3 linked regions of the Struthio camelus genome follow. The protein of the gene in region 3 purifies or fractionates together with the protein of the main gene of each other region. This does not show direct contact. Links are inferred from orthologs where the notes say so. Each region holds a gene or a part of one and is shown on either strand. Other genes may lie near its edges.

Region 1 (7,839 bases), on a different chromosome or scaffold from region 3:
TAGGCTTCTTTGCTTCACAATTATAAAATCTGTGCTACAGTAATTAATTTGAATTAATAAAAAGTGACCTATACTGCTGGAGAGGTGATCTGGTTGGAACAAAAACATCTATAGCAACATATGAAAAGCTGCCACCGGGCCTTTCAAAAATACCACAAAGAGAAAACAGTGTTGCCCAAAATATATCAACCAAGCACTCCGCAAATGAGTGATATGCTTGATTAGCATAAGCAAGGTACTTCTCTAAAAGTAAATCCACATGTGCATATAGTACAACCCAGCAACACTACACTGACGTTTCCAAGAGTTTCTGTACAGTTCTTAATCCAAAGAGGTCTCTCTACTGCTCTAGATGCAATACAACTCTTACATCAGCTACACATAAACCATGTGATTTTCTCGTATTTAGCAAGTCCTGAGAAAATAAGCTTTGCTTAAACACTCATTACAGTGATCCCACACTTACAAATCCTGGGAAGTCATAATCAAGCCCCTTTTCAGCCAGTCTCTTCCGTAAAAGTTTCTCCTTCCGTAGTAGTCGCCTTGCCATCTTTGCCTTCTCACTGATGGAACGTATCCTATTGTAACGACTGACTGCTGGCTGAGAAGGCTTCTGAAACTTTCTGTCACAGTCTTTGAAAAGGTTTTCGTGGACCCTTTCAGGAGGTATGAACTGACCTGTGTCAAAAGCATATAACGTCACATCATAGCAAAGCTACTTTTCTCACCGAACATACTCACGTGATGCTACTCAGTTCTTGCTATAACATTATCCACCACTACAGCAAAGCACTATTACAGAATTTTACCATCACAAAGACCGGAAAGTAACTAAATACTCGCTGGTAACAGTACCGATAACGGATGCATGGAAGAAAAAAAAAAAAAAAAAAAAGAAAGGCATTTTCAGTTTCACCCAGAAAACAGTCAAAAGACAAACCTGATTTTCTCAAGTTGGTAAGCATATATAGCTCACACTGCTCTACAAAGCAAGTTTTAGTATCATTGTGTTTGAGACATTTGTTCGTTTCATTAATTTTTAAACCAGAAAAGCTATTTGCATTTAGCTGCACAGAAAGCAGCTGCAACAGAGTTATAAATTAAAAAGAATTTTCATATTAAAGGAATTAGATTTGCTCTATAGAAGACATCTCCTCTCATTACGATTTTGTATGATGCTATTATACAATAACCATTATTAGTCTAGAAAAGAAAGTAGTAGCAAATAAAAGGCTCATGATGATATACTTTACATATGAAGAAAAGCAAGAAAAGCTCAGCCACACAGAAAATTCTTTTGGGCTGAAGCTTCGTAAAGAAACAAGAATCTTCAGATAGTTCAGAAAAAACACAAGTATGAGTTTCCTTTGCACATTAGACAATTCAGACTTTGGGTTATACTTACACTTTAGAAGTCTTTCTCCAAAGAGGTAGTTGTTCATTGTTTCTGCAACAATCTTTGCCACATCATCAGATTCGAACTCAATAAATCCATAGCCTTTGCTACCTCCAGTCTGCAAGCAATAGGAGGAAATCTGAAGTGACACTTAGATATCTAGCAGAAGAACTAAATTCAATTTTTTTATGCTTCAGAAGGGAAGGCCTATTTTCAGCTAAACAGCTGTAATTTCAGAAAGTTCAGTGAATTCATGAAAAGCACCAAATTTAGTCCTAGATCTGTAGGAGAGTATTTGTAAATACATATCTGTGCATGAAATAAACCACTCACCAATATCCTATTTTAATACATATAAAGAAAGGCCCTGCATTTGCTGTTTTCATTTTTATTATCAAGTTTACATAATATTATAACGTGATGATAAACCCACAGATGTGTAGATGTTAAATTTATCAAGCACAAAGCAATCGAAATGTTAAAAGAGAGTCTTTTCCATGACATTTCACATTCTGCACTTAAGAGTATTCTGGCAACACTTCCAACTTCAGCACATTCACTTGTGAAGAAAGGGGCTACATCTACCGGCACTGAAACTGCTGATTTGTGGGACCATCATCCCTCACATGCTGCCTATCAGCCTCTATTTCATTTTGGAAGTATTTTCAGGATAAGAAATTACGCGCGGGGCCCCCTGCCGCCCACTCTTGAAACTGCAACGAAGCTTTCCACGTGTTGCATACCAAAGCCGGATGAACAGCAGCAGGGCCAAAAACGCATAAGCTGCTTAAGGAGCTTCCGAAAGCAGTTAGTTTTGCTCATTATCCAAGTCAGTAGTTTCTGTAAGCAAGAAGTCTCAGAGCCCTAACAGATTTAGGGTTCACTCTACGAAAGCGAGCGGCACACGTACTGCTGTAGCTCAGGCACTTCACAAGCAGTAACAGCAGGAAAGACGAAAAGGAAAGTTAAACTCACTTTAACAGCTCTTTAGAAGAAAAGGGACGAAAAGGAGAGGGGGCAGTCACAGCAGCCAAGCCGGGAGACAACAGCGATTCGTCCTCCCGGCACAAGGAAACGGATTCCCGAAACGCGGCGAGAGGCCTGAGCCTAGCGAGGGAGGGCGAGGCGCCGGCAGCGGCCGCAGGGCCCGCGGCGCGGCACCGCTTTACCTTCTTACTCCTGGAGAGCCGGAGCCGCGTGACGGTCCCGAACTGGCCGAAGTACTCGCGGAGCTGGGGCTCGCCCAGCCCCCGCGGGACGTGCCCCACGTACACGGTCCCCGCCACCAGCCGCTCCTGCGGGCACACAGCATGACGCGTCAGCCGCGTTAGCCCCCCCGCCCGGCCCGGCCCGGCCTTCGCGCCCCCGGGCCCCGCGCCCCGGCCCACTCACCTTGGCCGCCCGGTTCTGCCGGACCCGCTGCACCTGCTGCTGGAACTCGCGCTGCAGCCGCGGCTCCAGCGCCAGCAGCGGCGCCACCGTCACCGCCTCGGCCTCGGCCGGGACCGCCGTCACCACCGCCGCCGCCTCAACCGCCGCCATGTCGCGATCGCCTCAGCGGGCACGCCGCCGGAAACGCGTCACCGGCGCTGCGCGCGCGACACCCCTCCCCGCCTTCCCCGGCCTCGCGCGCCTGCGCACTGGAGCCGCACGGGCGGGCGGCCACCGCGCGCGCCGTCTCCTAGCAACGGCGCGGCCAAGCGTACCCGCACAGCGTCGCCTGGCAACGCGGCGCGGGGCCGCCAGGGCCGCGTCGCCGGGCGGGAGGGCGGTGGCGGCGGCGGGGCCCGGGCTCGCCGCGGAGCCCTCTCGCCCTTCGCCCGCGGAGGCGGCGGCGCCCGGCCCTGCCCGGCCCGGCCCGGCCCGGCTCTGCCCCCTCGCGTGCGGCCCTCCGCTGACGCCAAGAGGCCGATCCCCGCCCCGCGGTGACGCCAGCCCCGCACTGCCCCGAGCCGCCGTCAGGCGCTGAGTGGGGCAGCCCCGCGCCAGCAGCGCGGGAGGCCCCGGCGCGGCGCCGGCAGCACGGGAGGCCCCTGAGGCGGGAGCCGGCGGCGGCGGCGCGGCTGGGCGGCACCATGTCGGTGAGCGACATGTTCATCGCGCTGCAAGGCGTCCTCACCGCCGACCAGGACATCCGCGAGGTGGGCGCGAGGCCGCGGCGGGGGCCCGGCCGGGCTGGGCCGGGTGGGTGAGTGGGCGGGCGGCGCTGCTTCCCCTCCCGTGCCGTCGCGTCCCGTCCCATCCCATGCCGTCCCCTCACGGCGGCCTGTGTCCGCAGGAGATCCGGAAGGTTGTGCAGACGCTGGAGCAGACGGCTCGGGAGATCCTCACGCTGCTGCAGGGCGTTCACCAGGGCGCCGGCTTCCAGGACAGTAAGTGCGGCGGAGCCGCCTTAGGCCGCGGTGCGGCAGTGCCTCCTTCCTAGGGAGAGCCAAAAATACGTCGTTCCTGGGGAGCGCTGCTCTGTAAGCCTCTTCGTTCCCGCGAGGAACCTCCGCGGGACGCAGGGGACGTGGGTTCCCTGTTAGGGTCACGCGTTTCCAGTTGCCCGTAGGCCCTGCTGAGGTGTCTTCCAGGGTGGATTCCTCAGAGGCTGCTGTGCGGGCTGCAGCGGCGCCCTTCAAGCCAGATGAGTAGAAAAGCTGCCATCCAGCCTCAGGCAACGCCGTTCCTCCCCGTTCTGATTCCCTCCCTCCTCGAGGTTTTACTGTCTTAGTGTGGAAAAGTATGTTGTTGCTACACTTGTTCATTTTCTGCGTTGGTGAATTGGCTCATAGGTTTCGCTCTAACTAGCATGCGTGTAGATTCTTATATCCTGCTAACTGTAATATAACCTGATGGGCCTTTGTATCTGTAGTCCCCTCCTCAACCCTCCTCCACCCCTCAAAAAAGCTGTGATGCTCTGGGGAGTGAGCAGGATAGTGTGGGAAGGGACATCTTTAATCTGCTATGTATTACATTTACTTGTGTATGCGTGCATGCAGGTACATGTGAATATAAAGTTGTACTTTGAGTTAATACCTGACTCCCAAAACGTAAAGGAAAATTACAAAGGCTGGTAAAGCAAGAGAAATCCTTGACATATGCTTGAGTGACAACTGGAATTGTGCTGTCGCTTTTAGGTTCAAGTTGTAGCTGTAGCTCCCTTACTTTTGAGCCAGAAATTTTTAGCATGTTCGAGGTAATGTTTCTGGGCCAACCCGTTTGCTCAAAGGGCATGAAATGTAGCTACAGACTTGAATGCTGAACGCGCTGTCCTTGTCCCCCCTATTTGTAGAGTTAGTGCTGAAGCTATTGGAATAAGCAGCTTTCTTATTTCAGTATGCGATTTAAAAGCCATTCAGTCATGTCAATGAACTTCTGGGGAGAAACAACCATTCTGATCTTTTGGAAACTCTTGAGAGGGACTCGGGGAGAGAAGAAATCTGGCAGGCTACCATCAGAAGGTGAAGAAAAGAAAGAAAACCTTCATCTGTTCCTGTTTTATTCATCTAGAGTGTTGGCTGGTTGTTTGTCAGCCTGATGACACTCACCACTACTTTTGTGCTTCAGCTGGAGGCCTGCGATTTCTGTAGTCTCCTGTTTGGTAACCACTAGGTATGTGGTTAGCAGTGTGCAGCATCTGACACTTGACCTCCACTGGCAAGTATAACTTCCTGCTGCTTAGGAAATCTACCAGTGCTAAAAATTAGAGTTGCTAATTGGCTAATTTAGTCAAACATGCTAAGTAAAGCATGTTTGACTAAAGCTGAGTAAAACCATGGATGTTGTGACAATCATTTTGCATGGTACCATCTTTAGGTTTTTTTTTTTTTCCCAGTATGTATTAGTAGAGACCTGTATCTGCCTCCGTGTATGTTGATTTATTATTTAATTTTAAGAGGGAGCTGGTCCTGAATCTTGCAGAGACCTGTGGAATAGTTTAAGTACCAAAAAGAAGACTGCTCTGCTTACAATTTTTGCAATATCAAAGATAATGAATGCAGGTCTAATAGGCTGGGTGGGAATTAACATACGATAATAGGCCTGTCAGTTTGACATCAATTTCAAGCAAAATAACAAAAGTCAGTAAAGGATTTGATTAATAAAGGTTAATAGCAGAGTAATTTAATACCAATTAACACAGAAATCTTTATGGGGAAAACTAGCACTTGTCAAATGATGTGTATTTAGACTATACTTTTACTTGATAATAGTTGTGGTGCTGTAGTGTAGTGCACTTAAATGTCTGTTTGGCTTAGTATGACATTTTGTCTGCTGACTTAGTACAATATTTTCATTAAGAAACTAGAATGGTGTAAAACCTGTATGGTTTTTTTTTTTTGGCTAGGTCAAAAAGGGATAGCTGATGATTCTTAAAACTATGAAAGAAGGGCATATTCATTACAACACAGTTCTAGCTAAATTTTGCAGCATCAAGTTTTGTACACTCTTGCATTTATTTATTCTAAGATGTAAGAAAAACTACTGATACAGTTATTAAAAGTTTACAGGTGACAGAAGAGTAAATAATGATGCTTGGTTAGTGCAGCTGTATTTCTATAAACAGTTTAAACTGGTGCTGCTGCCAAAAGAAATTGTACACCTTATTGTGCCTCCTTCCTTGTGCCAGCATGAGTGGGATATTACTGTCTTTCTGTGGTAGCTTACTATTCTGTCTTTTGTGATTAAATCCTGCGTCAATAATTGAGGTAGAACAATGAAAAAATAAGGGAGGTAACAGAGAGCCAGTGAAAAAAGTTAAAGGATTTAGAACAGGCTCCGTCCTACCAAAGAGCAGGGTTAAGGGATGGCTTGAGCTCTCTTAATAGAACCACAAGATGGTTGGAATGGGTTAATAGAGGGTGTTTTGCTGTATCAAAGGGTAATATTTATAAGATCATATTGCATAATGGCTTTCCTTTGTTCTCTAGGCACTTAAAATATCTCTTGGCTAACCCTGTTTCCATTGAGTTTTCCCCCTGACTTCTTGTACTGCAGGGCAACCACCTACACCCAGACAACAGCTACTTCATGGCGACTGCCTCTCTGCATGTGCTCAGTAATAGACTTTACCCTTAGCTCGTGAAATACACTGTGTTATGCTTAGCAACGCATCAGTGATGATATGTAAGGATGCACAAGGATAGCTTGGTGTTGGGAATTTTGTTTGTGTCTGTGCGTCATCAGGCACCATTGTCTGCAACTTTACAGTAAAGGCTGCTTTTCTGTCACAGATTCGTTTGACAGAAGCCAAAGTGCAAATGTGCTCTTCGTTCTGTCCCCAGTTGCCCTGTGACAGCTCGAGGGACCATGTTCAGAGAGTAATTCTCAGTGAGCTTTCACTCTAGCTGCCATATGAAGCACTTTCACCTTCTGCTTCCTGAAACTTTCATTTTTAACCTCCTTTTTTCTGATTGAGGGTGATGTTTGATTAGTTAAAACAAGTTTTTAAACAGATACTTAAAAAGTAAACTGCTGGTAGGAGTCATTTGATAAGTCATCCATGGCGACTTTCAGATTATTTAGTTGATGTGGATCCTATTTAAATAACCACAGCTTCTATACTTCAAGATGCTGAAGATGCTATTATGTTCACCACCTGCCTTTCTTGGGTTTTGACCAGGATTTCTGAGAAGGCTGCAGTTAAAAAGTACTGATTTGATGAGTTCTGGCAAGCTGTGGTTCTGCAGGTACAGCGTGGCTGTAATTCTTATTAGCGAACAGGAGGTGGCAGTGGGTGGTACATAAACAAGCGAGACCGTTTCTCTGCAGGAGTTTAATCCAGTGAACAGGCGAAAACTTGGTTCTTTCGAACAGATTGCTTGAAAGGGAGACTAAGACGTAGCTTCCTGGAGGGATGTTGCACCTCACATAACCTAACTCTGCCTGTTCAGAAAAAATATTATGAGACTTTAAAACAGAGAAAGAAAAGTTACTTTTCCTTTGACTGCCTAAGCTGTTTGGTGCTGCTTTGCGTGTTTGCGCTTTTTGGGGAGTGATTGCTGTGCACAGTGCAGTCCTATTGCTTGTGATTTGGCCATTGCTTTTGTCTCTTCTGAACTGCTGCGTCAGAGCTATTAGAGACAGAATCGTCCTGTTTCTCTCTTTGTAACACCTAAAACCCAACTAGTCCTCCCTTTCTCTTTACTCCATCCACTCAACTAAGACTCTAAACATACTTTCTTATCAGCTTGTGCCCTGATCTTTGTTGCCTCCTTCCTTCTACCAATGCCATACGTAATAGCCTTTTACCGCTCCAGAATGCTGCTGCGTGAATGGCTTTGTAGCATCTTGCTTTAATCATGTTACTTCTCTCGTTGAGTCCTTCCCTGGCACCCTGTTATCTGTTGCCATAGTTCTCGACTGTTTTATGTTTACAGGCCCTTGAACATTTACCGGGAAAGGCGTTTGCTCTGTATAGCGAGTCAAGGTCTACTAACACTCTACTTGCTTCTTGTAGT
Region 2 (6,622 bases), on a different chromosome or scaffold from region 3:
TGAACATTTATCTGCTGAATTCAAGGCAGGTCAACAGCTTTTTTTTTTTTTTTTTTTTTTAAATCAGCAGAGGTTTATAAAATCTTTGTAACCTCTCAGGCCCTGCAATAAGTCTTACAGGAATAGCTTTCATGCCCCTCCTCTCACAACCGAGCCTGAATACCACTGAGTTGACAATGACTTGCAAAGCAGGAGCTCCACAGTCAGGCTACCTACCCGCAGCACAAAGCAAAAGGCAGTACCTCATCCTTTAACTGCGCAAAGCAAAAGGCAGTACCTCATCCTTTAACTGCGTTTCTCTTTGATCACACCAGCACTTAACATACCAGTTACCGCCCTTGAGTTGAGTTCCATGCCCCAATCTTAGGTGTTTCTCACTTAAGAGCAACTTGACTGCACAGGGACTGAGGTCTGTCTCAAAATGCTGCAGCCAGGGCCAGCTGTGGAGCTATCTGGCTGCCCCCATTAAAGCCCCTAACCTGGGGGTAACTGGGGAACTTGACTCTGGTGATATACCACCAACTCCTCTTAGAAGAGGGACGCTGCCCTCCTTGACTGCTATCCAAGAGCCAAATGCTGATTTTAGAAAGACCAGAGCATATTTATTGACAAATAGGTGTGAGAGCCGAGCACTGGGCAGGAGGCTGTCAGCAGCAGTCCCTTCCTGCCCCTTGGTGAGCAGCCCCGGCCCTGAGTCGTGCTCAGCCCTGCAGGCCACTCTGTCCCTCTGGGTGCCAGTCCACCTCATGCTTTCTTCCTCTTGCCACCACCACTGCCCACAGGGCGCTGCTGCCGCTTGCCGCCACTCTTCTTGCTGCCGCTCTTCTTGCCACCGTGGCCGGGCCGCTGCTGCTGCCGGCGACCGCGCTTCCCCCGCTGCGCCCGCTTCTTGCCCTTGGCGGCAGCCGCCTCGGCATCCTCCTCGCGGAGCTGCTTGTTGACGGCACGAGTGATGTCGAGGGGCGGCTTCTTGCTGCTCATGCCACGCAGCAGCTCCAGCTGCTGGCTCCGCTCGGCCGCCAGGTCACCCAGCAGCGGCGCGAAACGGCGCTTCTTGGCGCCACGGGGAGGCGGCTCCGCTGGCTCCTTGGGCAGCCGCGGCTGAAAGCGGCCGAGCGAGGCGGTGGAGAGGCGGGCGACGCGGGCAGCGTGGCCCAGCTCAGCGCGGCTCTGGTGGCCCGTGGGGTGGAGCGGGGCAGCGGGCACGGCGGCGCGGTGGGCGCGCGCCAGGTTGCGCAGGCGGTTGAGCTCATTGCGCGCCACGCGCTCCCGCTTCTCCCGCCGCCGCTTGGCCAACTGGTCCTCGTCCGGGTCGGCGCCCGCCGGCACCTCCGCCGCCCAGTCGCGGGCCGGGTCGCCGCCCGCCCGCCGGTAGCCCCAGCGCCGCCGCCACTCCTTGGCCTGCTCGTCCCACACCAGCGAGGTGCGCTTCCGCCGGCGGATGCCCTTCAGCCGCGCGAACTGCTCCCAGCGCGTGGGCGGCCGCGGCCGCGGCGGCGGCTTCTCGCGCGGCAGGCGGAAGGCCGGCTCCGGCAGCTGCGCCACCAGCGGCCCCGCCGCGCCGCCGGCGCGCTCGGCCGGCAGCGCCCACAGCTGCGCCACCAGCAGCTGCGTGTTGTCGCGGGCCAGGGCCCGCAGCAGCGCCTCCCGCCGCGGGCCGGCCCCGCGCAGCCCCGCCGCCGCCGGCGGGTTGCGGTCCAGCGCCAGCAGGTTGCCCAGGTCGAACTCCAGCTCCAGCTCCTTGTGCACCGCGATGCTCCGCTGCTTCTCCGCCTCCTGCTCCTCCGCCGCGGCCAGCAGCTCCTCCACGCGCACGGCCGCCATGGCGGCGGAGCGGAGCGGGCCGGGCCGCGCCGACACGTGCGGACAGCTCGCGCCGCCCGGCTCCGGAAGTGACCCAGCTCCGTTCCGGGTCAGCGCGCCGGAAGCACGTCAGAAGGGAGCGCGGAACCACAAAGGGAGGGGCGGGGCGGGGCGGGGCGGGCCGCGCGCATTGTCTTCTGGGAGCTGTAGTGCGCGCTGGCCCGGCGCTCAGCCCGCGGCGGCGCGCGGCATTCTGGGAGGGGCAGGAGGCAGCGCTGCATTCTGGGAGCCGTAGTCTCCGCGCAGGCCGTGGGGCTGCGTCGGGGCGGCCCGTTGCTCCTGTCAGAAAGTCTCCAGCTCTTCTCCCACTTATTTAATGATCAACATGACTTGTGGTCCAGCCCTCCCCGCAAAAAATCCCCAGTGAAGTTGCCAGGCGCGGGTTGCCCTTGGCTAGCTGGGGGTAGACGCTGCCTGGGCCGGTTCGGCCCAGCTGGCGAGCGGGGCTGGGGCAGGAGGGGCGTGAAGAGAGCTGGCGTGTACAGGAAGGCCAACGCCGAAAGCGCGTTCGCTGCCTGCAGCAGGGAGACGAGGCCAAAGCAGGGCACGCAGAGCACCCAGAACGCAAACTGGGCCTCGCCGCCTTCTGCTGCTGCGTAAGGGGTTGCGCGGTAGCACTCAAATATCCGGCAGGTTAAGGCTGAGACATGGGGAAATATCCTTTCTGTTTTTATTGCAGCGTAACGTTTAGGTGTCAAAGTCACTGCTAAAGCTTAGGCCAGGCAATGAGTGGCCTGATCCCAACCCCAGCGCCGAGGCTGCTTCCCTCGCGACCGCCGCCGGCCGCCCTGTGACACCAAGGGGAGAGGAGGTGCGCGGGGAGAGCCGCAGCACCCCTCAGACGGCTCGTCAGGCACGATGAGTGAGGTCGTCGGGTGATACCGCATGCACCAAAAAAGTCAGCCAGGTCAAAGATACTGCCGTGCTATTTTTAAACAAATGAGATACGGCAGAATCCTTTTACAGCAATAGAGCATGCAGTGATTTGGCTCGTATGGTCATGACGTTTTGAGCTGATCTTTGGTGCCCTAAAAACAAGCTCATGACAGGACTTCGCTGCAGCCAACAAAAAGTCACGGGAATTATTATACTGGATAGAATTTGCTACTGAGTTAAACACGTCCCCTCCCTTAACTTGTGTCTGGGGTGATGGAAATGATTCTGAGTATAATGTCACAGCTGTATTTTTAGAATGAAAATAAAATGTTGCTCCTGTAAACTGATTCCTGGAATCTGTTGCCTAGCATATCACATCTTATACTGTATAATTATAATTATGATAGAATCTTTTTTTTTTGTTTTTTTTTTCAACCCAACAGGTCTGAGTGTGATTCAAGCACTACAGAGCAGCAAATTCCCTATGCATTTAAAACCTAATTAGATGCCATAGACAGTTTTCCCGTTTACCACAAGATGGCATTGCATTGCATACTACTTTCTTCACTTTCCTGGACAGCTCATACTTTCACCTGAAATTATAGATTAAATTAAAGACAGTTTTCAGAGATGTACATATACTATTTTTGACACAAATAAGTTCAGGCATATATTTATACTTTTATACTGCATAAGCAAGGGGCACTGTTGGGGCAGTCGGTTGATACCTTGGTCGCTGTACTGTCCTATCTTATCCTTAGATAGCTAGCTCTTTGGGCTCTTTTGGTTTATATTTGTACAAAGCCCAACAGTCTTCAGGTAAATGACTCGGATTGAAGGGACATAATTGATAAAATTTATTACACTTACAAAATTGGCTTGATATTTAATGATTACTTTGTATCGACAGAATAACAGAAGGAATGCATGCCAGGAATTGGTCTTCATGTTTCACACGATAGCATGGAGCTTCTAAGTTAAAAATTAAAATGCAAACAAGCTTCTACCCTCCTCCAGGTTTACTCAGCGCAATATTGCCTGCTGTTCAAATCTGACTACAAAACCATTACTGCTGACAGGATATTATTGAGTTGAGATTTCAGAATGTGCTTGGTAAGATGGCAGTTGGAATATATGAGTGGATTTGTAAACCAAACAGAATTTGTAAATGGAATCATATTTTAGGAAATTATCTGATGGTGAGAAGCAGCTTCTGAGATGGTCGCTTTAATAATCCTAGTCATGCTTAGAATTTATAACTCTCAGTTTGTAGCTGAGAATTACAAGCAGGCACAGAGCTTCCCTGAAGTGAATAGGCATGTGTGTAAGCTTTATTAACAGGCTTTTGCAGCAGATTTTTTAAGGGTGAATTTTTAGAAATGTTTGTTCATTTTGGTCCTCTCCACTTCTAGGTTCCTAGTTTCAGAATCTCAAGTATCACATTTCTCTAAGTGCTTGTGGCTGGATTTGTGAGTGCTCAGCCATGGCGCTTGAAGGGAGTTTTCCCTGATTGGAGGCATTATAGTTCATAGATACTTGCACAGTTTCAGCCTTACCCTCTCTTTCCTTTGGTTTTCTCTCTCTCTTCACCATGAATTATAGTAATCTGTAACTTGTGTGTGTGTGCATGCGCACATGAGTGTGTGCGTATGCTTACTTCCTTAGCGTTTCCTAACTCTCGGAACTGTGAGAAACTCAGGCAGAAATTGGATGCTGTGGCAACGTGCAGGCTTTCTTGGGGGTAGAAAGCTGTAATTGCTTTTATTGCAGTTAGCACCCTCAAGGATGATGCACACTCCTGAGGATGTAGTACAGAAGTATGCATGTGGCTGCACAGCTTTCCTTACCTGAAGTTACGGGGATGTTTCAGATCAATACGTTTTTCTTAGTTCCTCAGTACATGATAGGTCTGATACAAAACCCCAGGATGAACATAGAGGGTACATTGGCATGAAGAGTGCTATTATCCTTTTTAATACAATTTGTTGTGCTTTTGCATTGCAATTCTTTCCGAATCACTATAGCTTCAATTTTAAAGAGACACGGTAGATTTAAGAACCCTGGAAATATCAATTAGAGTTAATAGTTTCAGGTTCCTCTGAAAATCCTATCCTGTTCTCATACATGAAGCCTGATTTTTAAATATGGCTACTGCTTGACATCTGGACACCTAAACAATGTTAGCTAGTCACATCTGAAAGTCTGGGATGTGATCCTTCAGATTATGAGCGCTCTCAGTTTTCAATCAAAAGCCCACCGCTCATGCTAGATTCAAGAGCTGCTTTAATACCAAAGGTTGCATAATGGTTTTTGAAAAGCACGTACTCTGCATGAAAAACCTAAGATATAATTTGTAATGTAATTTGCAGAAATACTTGTCCAAAAGATGAATAGAAAGCATGATGCAGGATATATTTAATGCACAAAATGAACTACAATGTCAAAGTGATGTAACGTTTCTTTTTTTTCTTCTTCTATTAGAAAAATTTTTTTTTTTAGTTTCTGTTAGGCTGGGCTACAACTTTAAGTCTGTATAAAATAGGAATTGTTCTAATATTCCCTATTCATGTCTCACCTTTTGTGATACCATTAGCTTAGATTTACTCTTCAAACTTTTGCCAATTACCTCTGGATGGCAGTAGATATAGTTAGAAGATGATTCAATCCATTCTTAAGCCTGCTGTGAGGATCATTATGAAGAACACTTCTATCAGGAAAACCCAAAGTGCTGGTAATTTTGGAAAATAGTAGAAAGTGCCCTTAAAATACCCACACTGTCTCCAAATCATTCCTTTTCACTGATTTTGTTCAGAACACTTTGAAGTAAAATCTACATTGTAGGATTTCTTCCAGTAAGGAAAAAGCTGTTTGCTCACTGAAGCTAAATTAAGTAAAAATTAGTACTACAGCTTGTGGACAAATTCCCCATACATTTTTATCCCAAAGTGTTACAACATACATCTATGTCCTATACAGGTGTTTTTGCAGTACAAATAATAAAGCTTAGTAGGTAAATAATTTGGCTAATGGAAAACGCTTTCCTATTCACTGTTCCTATTCGCTGTGAACAAACTATCTGCCAGGAGTAAACAAATAAAAAAGGCTTGTGCTACAGTCTTTTAATGACTACAGGCATTGACTTCAGCAGTATATAACAAATATGCCTATTAGTTATGGCTTTTGCTGTTTAAGAAAGAACTATGGCTGCAGGTATTACAGACAGCAGGTAATTCCTTCTCATGGCTTCACTGAAGCAAGCCCTTAACCTAACAACGCATTAAAGGATATACTTATTTTTGAGCATGTGGATTGTTCCATTGATGTTAATGATGTTAACTCTGCTCACATGCTTAAAAACTTTCCTGACTGAGTTGTAGATGAGCAGGGTTAGACAACATTTATTGCAGTATTAGCAGAATTCTGTATTTGAGAAAAAAACCCTGAAGATGAAACTCAGGAGGCTGTAGCTATAGTTCCAAACCCTAGAACTAAGTAACTGGAAATGCAATTACAAGCAAATACTGAGTAGGGTCTGATTTCTGGTTCAGAAGCCAAAACATAGATAGCTGGGGAGACAGCATTCAGATCTGGAAGACTACAGACCTTGTGGAAGGTGATTGGTAGACTGTAATTTATTTTGATCAGTTAACTGGCTATGACTGTGTGGTTTCACTGAACTCATTTTGGGTAAACAAAACGTAAACTAAGCTAATCTGAGGCCTTCCCAAGCGCACGATGCCTATCTGGCTGTGCACTGGGGAATCAGGCTGAAAACAGATGGTGATATGTTTTGCTATTTTATGAGCTTTACGATGACCTTTTTTTTGAGAAAGTTTTCTTGTAGCGTGGCCTTAATACTGAAAATATCAACAATGGTGTGGCT
Region 3 (7,344 bases):
TTGCTGAGGGACACTTAGTCTACCCCAGGAACGCACCATCCTCATACCTTTGGTTTCTTCTTGCTCAGCAGCTCACTCACGGACTTGGTCTGAACCTCCACCTCCTTGAAGGCATATTTCGGGTCAAAGAACTTGCTGTCAATTTTATCTGGAGCCTGATAACCTGTGATGTGGGAATTGGAGAGTTCAGCAGGTTTCTCCCTGCCCTATCCCAGTGCACCAAGCTGCCAACAGCTGCAAGTATCCTCAGCTGCTCACCCTGGCACACCACGAAGATCTCAGCGGACTCATTGCGGGAGGCTTGGGGCTTGGTGGCTTGGACCTTGCGGAAGAACTGCTGGAAGATCCAGAGGAGAGGCTGGTAGTCCCGGGAGCGAAAAACCTTGGTGATGAACCAGCCGCCTTTGCAGAGAAATTCGCAGGCGAGTTTCAGGGCCATAAGAGTCAGGTTGGCTGAAGAGGGAGAAAGCAGCAGTCAACAGAGTTGTCAACTCCCCATCACCTAGCTCCTTGCTCCGCAACATGTGCCACCATCCACTGTGCCCTGCTGGGGCATGAGACGCACCCGCCCTTGCAACCCCTGGCAACTGCCCTAGGCCACACAGCAGCCCCGCGAGGGCCCTACCTTGGGAGTAAGCGTCGTGCACCCAGCTGGCCCCCACGTTGGGTGCTCCATCATTCAGCACCACGTCCACCTTCCATGTCTGCAGCTCCTTGCGCAGGGCCTGAGGGTCAGAAGTGCATGTTAGTCCTGCTAATCCCTGTCATTCTGCACAAGCCAGCAGGTAGCATCTCCAGTCCCCAAAAGCCCACGTTTCCACCTGCCTGCCAACCCAGACAGTCCGTTCAGCTGCCTGCCCCAGTCCTACCCCCAAAATGAGCCCTGACTAAGCAGCTAGGGTGACCTCCAGCCCAGACAGACCTGCTGAGTCCCAGATCAAGAGATGACACTTAGCAGGGTGGTTTTTACCTGGCGACACTTCTCAGTGGTGATGTCCTCCTGCAGCGTCACCACGTTGGGAATGGGTTTGATAGGGACCAAGTCCACCCCTGGTATAAGGAAGAGATGTCAACGTCGAAATTTTCCCCCCAACCTGGGTTCCAGCCTGGCTTCCCAGCTCACCCCTTCCGTGTACCAGGGCCCCCAAAGCACCCCATCCCTCAAGTCAGATCCAGGGACTGCGGAGGTGGTCCCTGCCCCAAGTCTCCCCTACGACATCCTTGACCACCCCTGCTCCAGCTCAGTGCAGGGTCCCACAACTCACCAATGATCAAGCTGGAAACAGGCATGAATTTGGAAGCCACCTGTAACCTGCAGAGAGCAGAGAGGGTAAAAGCTACGGCAGGATCCCATGAGAACCACCAACCTTGAATCATGCTGCCTAAGGCTTGGGATCTGCCTTGGGATCTGCGACAGGGAACAAGACGAACTGCCTAGGCAGGAAGTATAAAAGCCAGTTCGCTACAAGGTCCCAGCTATCCAAATCACCAGACTCCTACCTTCTTTGTGAAAGCCTTTTTCACAGGCACCCTTGAGTCAGGAATAGGTTAGCTATCCAGATAGAATAACTTGGATAGCCCCCATCTTGCCATGCGGGGGAGCCACAAAGGCTTAGGGCTACTCAACTAACAGCACACACAAATAAAATGATCACTAAAGAGTACTTCAGTCTGCACTACTTAAACACAGCCCAGACACTGAGCCTCCTGCAAGTAGATGCCTGTTGGCTTATGGCTCAGAGCCCGTGGCAGTAGGGGGCATTTCAGCGGCTTCAACAAGAAGTAATCATGTTTCTCATCAATTCCCCCAAAGCAACAAGGTATCTGGGGCAGGTGGAGCACGTATAACTCCAGCTGCAGCTTGTGCAGACCAGCTTTCAAACCGGAGCCAAACGAGCGTGTTCCTCTGGGCTCTGGCTAGTCTGGCTCACCCATGCACCTCCAGGAGGGAGGCCCATGGGGTAGCCAGGCCTGGTGTGGGGCAGCTGGAGATGTTGGGCCATGGCTCCGGGCCTGGCGACACTCACCACCCACCAGGGGCTGCACATAGGTCCAGCAGTGCCCGGGCCTTTTGCAAGAATTGGAACTTCCTATTGAGCTGGAGAAGTTTGAAGGAGGAGCGGGAGCGAAAGCCTGCAGAAAGAAGAGTGAGGGGTTACAGATTACTGGGAGTTATGGGTTTGCTCCTCTCCTCCCGACAGCGCGCAGGCTCCACTTACCCGTCTCCTTGGCCAGGTGGTAGAACTTGTCCCGCCGACTCTTGCCTACTTTGCTCTTCTTGCCCATGGTGGCGTCAGGCCGGGACCCCGGTGGGGCTGGGAGCTACGGTCACCTCTGCGCACGGACCTGCGGGGAGGCTAACGGGCTGAGCTCGGGGCGGCAGGGCCAGGAGGACCGACCCGGTGTCCCCCCACGGCCCCTGGCGCCCGCTGGCCCTGGGGTGCCCACACCTACCCCGGCCCGATGTCCGCCAACCCGGTGCCCCCCTCCCCTCCCAAGGGCCTACCCCGGCCCTGGAGCCCCTCAGCGCCTTCTCCGGCCCCGCTGCCCGCCCGGCTCCCCGGCCCCGCCGACCTACCGCGGCCTCGGGGTCTCCTCCCCGTCCTGGTGCCCCCCCGGCCTGCTCCGGTGCCCCCTTCCGCCGCCCAGTCCCCACACCGCCGCGCTCCCGCGTGCGCGCCCCACCGCCTCGGGCTGCCACTAGCGAGTGACTTCCGCTTCCGGTCGCCCTTCGCCACCATCTTGGGAATGTTGTCTCAGCACCAAGTCCCCGCTGCGAGCGGCAAGACAGGACGCCGCACGCAGGGAAAGGGGGAGGGAGAACAGACCTTCTAGGAGGCGCGTTTTCAGCCTACTCACCACCCTCTAGTGTTTCGTGACACAGAGGAATAACGTTTGACCTTACCAAGATGGCGACAAAAGCAGCGTGCTTGCGGGGCCATTTCTGCGCACGCGCATTCTCCACGCCGCCAGCACTCGAGTGCGCATGCGCTCTCACATCCTTCGGGATTGGAGCAATCTGTTTGTTACTGTGTTGTTGGGGGAGGGAGGAAGTGACGCCAGCACGCTCCTCGCGCGGGGGGGGGCCAGCGGAAGGGACGCCGCAGCCATCTTTAGTGCAGGCAGCGGTGGTGCCGGTGTCCCGATGCCGGCGGAGAAGATGGCGGTGGACGGGCCCGAGCAGGTGAGGCTGGAGCCGGGCCGAGTCGGGGGCTGTTGGCGGCCGGGGGTGCCCGGGCCACGCTGCTTTGCCATGCTGAGAACGGGCGGGGGCCTGGCGGTCGCTGTGACTCGGCGGAACTCGTCTCAGCCTTGGCGCGGAGGCAGACCGGGGCCTGGGGCAGCGAAGGGCATGAGGGGAAGCGAGGGATCCACGGATCCCTGGGCGAACGGGGACTCTGGGGGCTGGCGTTGGGGACAGGTCCGGGGAGGTGCGCGGGGGAGCCCGGACTCCGAGGGCTGCTGGGGGCTGACCCGGAGGTAGAGGTGGATTGCGGGGCCCTGGGGGAAACGGGAGGCCTGCGGGGCCGGACCCCGTCTCACTGAGTCCCGTTCTCTCACAGATGGAGATGGATGATGGGAAGGGTGGCACGGGACTCCGACAGTACTACCTGTCCAAGATCGAGGAGCTGCAGGTGAGCCATCCCCAGCTGTGCAGCCACCCGGCCTGCTCTGGGCAGGTGTCTCTGTGGTTCCAGCCAAGGGTGCCTATCTCTGTCTCCAGGCCTACCCTCAGGCTAAGAACATCTGCAGTGCTTTGTAGGCCTTTTTTTGCTGCCGGTGCCCTGTCCTGGGGTGCAAGGAGGAGGCACTTGTGAGGACGGTGTCTACAGGCAGGGCCATCAGTCCAGCCTTTGGGCGATGCGGGCATCCACGATGTGTTTCTGTCCTACCCAGTGTCATCGCTGCTTTGTGTGTATGAGATATTGCCTAATCCTTGGTAATGGAACCTGGCTGGTCACGTCCTGTTTGGAAAGGCTGTGCTGTCCTAGGTGCTTGTCCCAGGATGAAAGCTGCTCCTGCCTGTTCTGCTGCAGCTCAGCTAGTGCCTGTTGCACGCACTTGGTGTGCAGTTAGTTTGAATGTTGTATGGGATTCTGAAGTCTTAGCTAAGCTTTCTTTTTACCTAGCTCATCGTCAATGAGAAGAGCCAGAACCTGCGGCGTTTGCAAGCTCAAAGAAACGAGTTGAATGCCAAAGGTACAGCTCTTTTCATTTTTCTCATCCTGATCTCCTGCAGTGATGTGGCCACTCCTAGTTGCTGGGCTGATGACTTGGGACCCAGCTATGGGCCAGCATGGCTAGTGCTGTTGTTGGGAAGATCCAGCTCCTGCCAGGCAGGAACATGTGCTCTGAGTTTCATAAATCCTCTAGATGTTTTGTTTTTGAGGGTTTTTTTTTTCTTTGCTGTTGTAGTTAAGGGAAGGTGGGTACCCTTGGTTCCAGCTGAGTCCCTTTCCTGAGCAGGACTCTGCACTGATCCCCAAGATGTCCCCGAAGGGCTGCGTGGGGTGTGTGTGCCACCTCCATTGGGGGCCGGGTGTCCTCTCACTGCACTGGGAGCTGATGCCTGTAGCTGGGCAGAACGGCGCTGCTGATGTCTCCCTCCCTCTTCACAGTGCGCCTGCTGCGAGAGGAGCTGCAGTTGCTGCAGGAGCAGGGCTCCTACGTGGGGGAGGTGGTGAGAGCCATGGACAAGAAGAAAGTGCTCGTCAAGGTACAGAGCTGGGGTGAGCGGGTTGGAGAAGGACAGAGTCTTTCCTCATCCTTGCACAAGGAGAGGGTTGGAGGGCAGATGTGATAGCACAAGTTCTGGGAGGGATGTGACAAGGAAGAAATGTGAAGCGAGAGCTGTATCTAGAGGAGCACCTTGTAGCACCTCTCGTGAGCCCCAACCTTCCCCAAGCAGGTGGGAAGCACCTGGCTCAGGGGTTACTGGGGGCAGGTGGAGCTGCAAGGTTTGTGTTGGTGGCTGAGCTGCCTGGCTCCTCCTTCCCCCTCTGAGAAGCCAGTATGGGTACTGGACACACGACTGGGGACGTTTCAGGTAGAGAAATAACTCATGGTGGCAACTGCCATGTTTCAGGTGCACCCGGAAGGGAAGTTTGTGGTGGATGTCGACAAGAACATTGACATTAATGATGTGAGTGTGGGGATGTCCTGGGGGCCGTGGGTGGGAGGGGAAGGAGATTGCTCCCCTTGGGGTGGCCTCGTGCTGCCTGCTGCATTCCTCAGCCTGGGGTGGCTCAGAAGGGCTGTATCAGGGCCAGGTGCTAAGTTCCCCTCTGATCTTGGCGTAGGTGACCCCAAACTGCCGCGTGGCCCTGCGCAATGACAGCTACACACTGCACAAGATCCTGCCCAACAAAGTGGACCCTCTTGTGTCCCTGATGATGGTGGAAAAGGTCCCGGATTCCACTTACGAGATGATCGGAGGTTTGGACAAGCAGATAAAGGAGATCAAGGAAGTAATCGAGCTGCCAGTCAAACACCCAGAGCTCTTTGAGGCCCTGGGGATTGCCCAGCCTAAGGCAAGTGCTGTCCACCTGGGCCTGGTGTGATTAGGGGCTGCTGGTGACCACAAGGGGATGAGCACCCTGGGGTGCTGCTGTGGCTGCTGCTGCAGTGGCACTGCAATGCTGCGATCCTGCCCCTCGCTGCCCAGGGTTGCTGTGCATCACCTGCTCCTTTTTGTTGAGGTTGTTTGGGCTAGTGGGAAGGAGAGGTAGCTCTGGGGTCTCGTAGCTTCTCGGGTGCTGCGTTCCACTTTGTGAAGGAGAGAAGGGATGTGGGACAGTAAGTGCTGCTGCCCTGGTGAGGATATTTGCTCTCCCTGTCTGTGGCTCTACCTTGGGGGCAGAGGAGAGGGGGCTTTCCTGTCCCAGGATCACCTTCAGAGGCCCCTGGACTGGAGCTTTCCCCCAGCTTGCATGCATGGTGGCAGGGAGCTCTGCCCAAATGCAAAGGGCCTGGTGGCACTAGCTGCTAGAAAGATTTTTCCCTTGTCCCCCCACCCTAGCTGTGTCACTTCCCCAGGGGCAAACAGGGCCTGTGAGCATGTGGGAATGAAAGCTGTGGCAGTGCCTGGGCTGCCCTGGGGTGTCCCTGCCCGTGCAGGTACTGACGGAGGGTTGCTGAGGCCCTGCCTGGCAGCAGTGCTAAGGCAACCGCGTGACCGTTGCAGGGTGTGCTGCTCTATGGACCCCCTGGTACAGGCAAGACTCTGCTGGCCAGGGCTGTGGCCCACCACACTGACTGCACCTTCATCCGTGTCTCAGGCTCCGAGCTGGTGCAGAAGTTCATTGGCGAAGGTAAAAGCATGCAGGGGGAGGCTGCTGTGTGCATCAACATCAGTCTGAGCCCTGGAAAGGGTGCCAATGTGGTGCTGTGTGGCCTCGAGGGGCTGAGTGCCTCTTGTGTGGTGTCCTGGGTTGCTCAGAGACACCATGGGTGCACCAGGCTCTGTGCAGTGCCAGGTCTTGACCCTCTCTGCTCTCTACAGGTGCTCGCATGGTGCGGGAGCTCTTTGTGATGGCCCGGGAACATGCCCCATCCATCATCTTCATGGATGAGATTGACTCAATTGGCTCCTCCCGCTTGGAAGGTGGCTCTGGCGGGGACAGTGAGGTGCAGCGTACTATGTTGGAGCTTCTCAATCAGCTTGATGGCTTTGAGGCCACAAAAAATATCAAGGTGTGAGGGCTGCTGTCCCTGGTGGGGCCCTGAGCCGCCTGGGGAAAGGGGCAGTGTTGTGCTGGTCTCATGGTAGCAGTGGGGGGCCCAGAGTGGTGACAGTGGCTGCTCTCCTGGTACAGGTGATCATGGCCACAAATCGGATTGACATCTTGGACTCGGCTCTGCTGCGCCCTGGCCGCATCGACAGGAAGATCGAGTTCCCCCCTCCCAATGAAGAGGTAGGTGGGGTGTCCCATGGCAGGTCCCATGTCTCTGTGGTCCTGGCCCTCTCCCTGCGGGGAGAGCAGGGTCCCCAGCTCTGTCTGGGAGCAGTTCCTCCTGTGCTTATTTGGGGGGGGAGGGGGGGGGCTCCAACCCTTGCCTCACTGCTGCTGTCCTTACAGGCCCGTTTGGACATCCTCAAGATCCACTCCCGGAAAATGAACCTGACACGAGGCATCAACTTGCGAAAGATTGCGGAGCTGATGCCAGGAGCATCAGGTGCAGAGGTGAAGGTGAGCCCAGAGTCTGAGAGATGAGCAGCAGTGGGGTGGCTGGGTCGGGGCCTGGCAGCCAGTCTGTGTCCTCTTGGCCCTTGCTGGGGGTGCAGGGTCTAGAGCTGATGAAGAAGAGCAAAGGGTGACATCTCTGTTCCCTCGCAGGGGGTGT

Evidence for each region.
Region 1: the proteins of FTSJ3 (region 3) and NIFK fractionate together in Homo sapiens (co-fractionation; 3 studies listed by BioGRID, with this or other methods). This does not show direct contact. The link is inferred for Struthio camelus from reciprocal best matches to the Homo sapiens genes FTSJ3 and NIFK.
Region 2: the proteins of FTSJ3 (region 3) and RRS1 purify together in Homo sapiens (affinity purification with mass spectrometry; 3 studies listed by BioGRID and IntAct, counting the BioPlex papers as one, with this or other methods). This does not show direct contact. The link is inferred for Struthio camelus from reciprocal best matches to the Homo sapiens genes FTSJ3 and RRS1.

What each region holds. Positions count from the first base shown.
Region 1 is NC_090947.1:33,017,788-33,025,626, forward strand, and holds the start of NIFK (MKI67 FHA domain-interacting nucleolar phosphoprotein), read right to left. Parts: upstream 3,039-7,839; 5' UTR 2,939-3,038; coding exon 2,789-2,938; intron 2,692-2,788; coding exon 2,566-2,691; intron 1,515-2,565; coding exon 1,406-1,514; intron 679-1,405; coding exon 467-678; intron 1-466. Other genes in the region: TSN (translin), read left to right, coding at 3,472-3,537, 3,675-3,768.
Region 2 is NC_090943.1:132,526,558-132,533,179, forward strand, and holds RRS1 (ribosome biogenesis regulatory protein homolog), read right to left. Parts: upstream 1,908-6,622; 5' UTR 1,825-1,907; coding exon 745-1,824; 3' UTR 578-744; downstream 1-577. UniProt on the Homo sapiens protein: Involved in ribosomal large subunit assembly. May regulate the localization of the 5S RNP/5S ribonucleoprotein particle to the nucleolus.
Region 3 is NC_090966.1:2,767,992-2,775,335, forward strand, and holds the start of FTSJ3 (pre-rRNA 2'-O-ribose RNA methyltransferase FTSJ3), read right to left. Parts: upstream 2,987-7,344; 5' UTR 2,906-2,986; intron 2,726-2,905; exon of another isoform or gene 2,579-2,725; intron 2,347-2,578; 5' UTR 2,287-2,346; coding exon 2,220-2,286; intron 2,134-2,219; coding exon 2,028-2,133; intron 1,313-2,027; coding exon 1,266-1,312; intron 1,051-1,265; coding exon 971-1,050; intron 726-970; coding exon 626-725; intron 454-625; coding exon 259-453; intron 164-258; coding exon 48-163; intron 1-47. Other genes in the region: PSMC5 (26S proteasome regulatory subunit 8), read left to right, coding at 2,987-3,184, 3,564-3,635, 4,131-4,200, 4,620-4,717, 5,087-5,143, 5,301-5,531, 6,185-6,311, 6,503-6,693 and 3 more.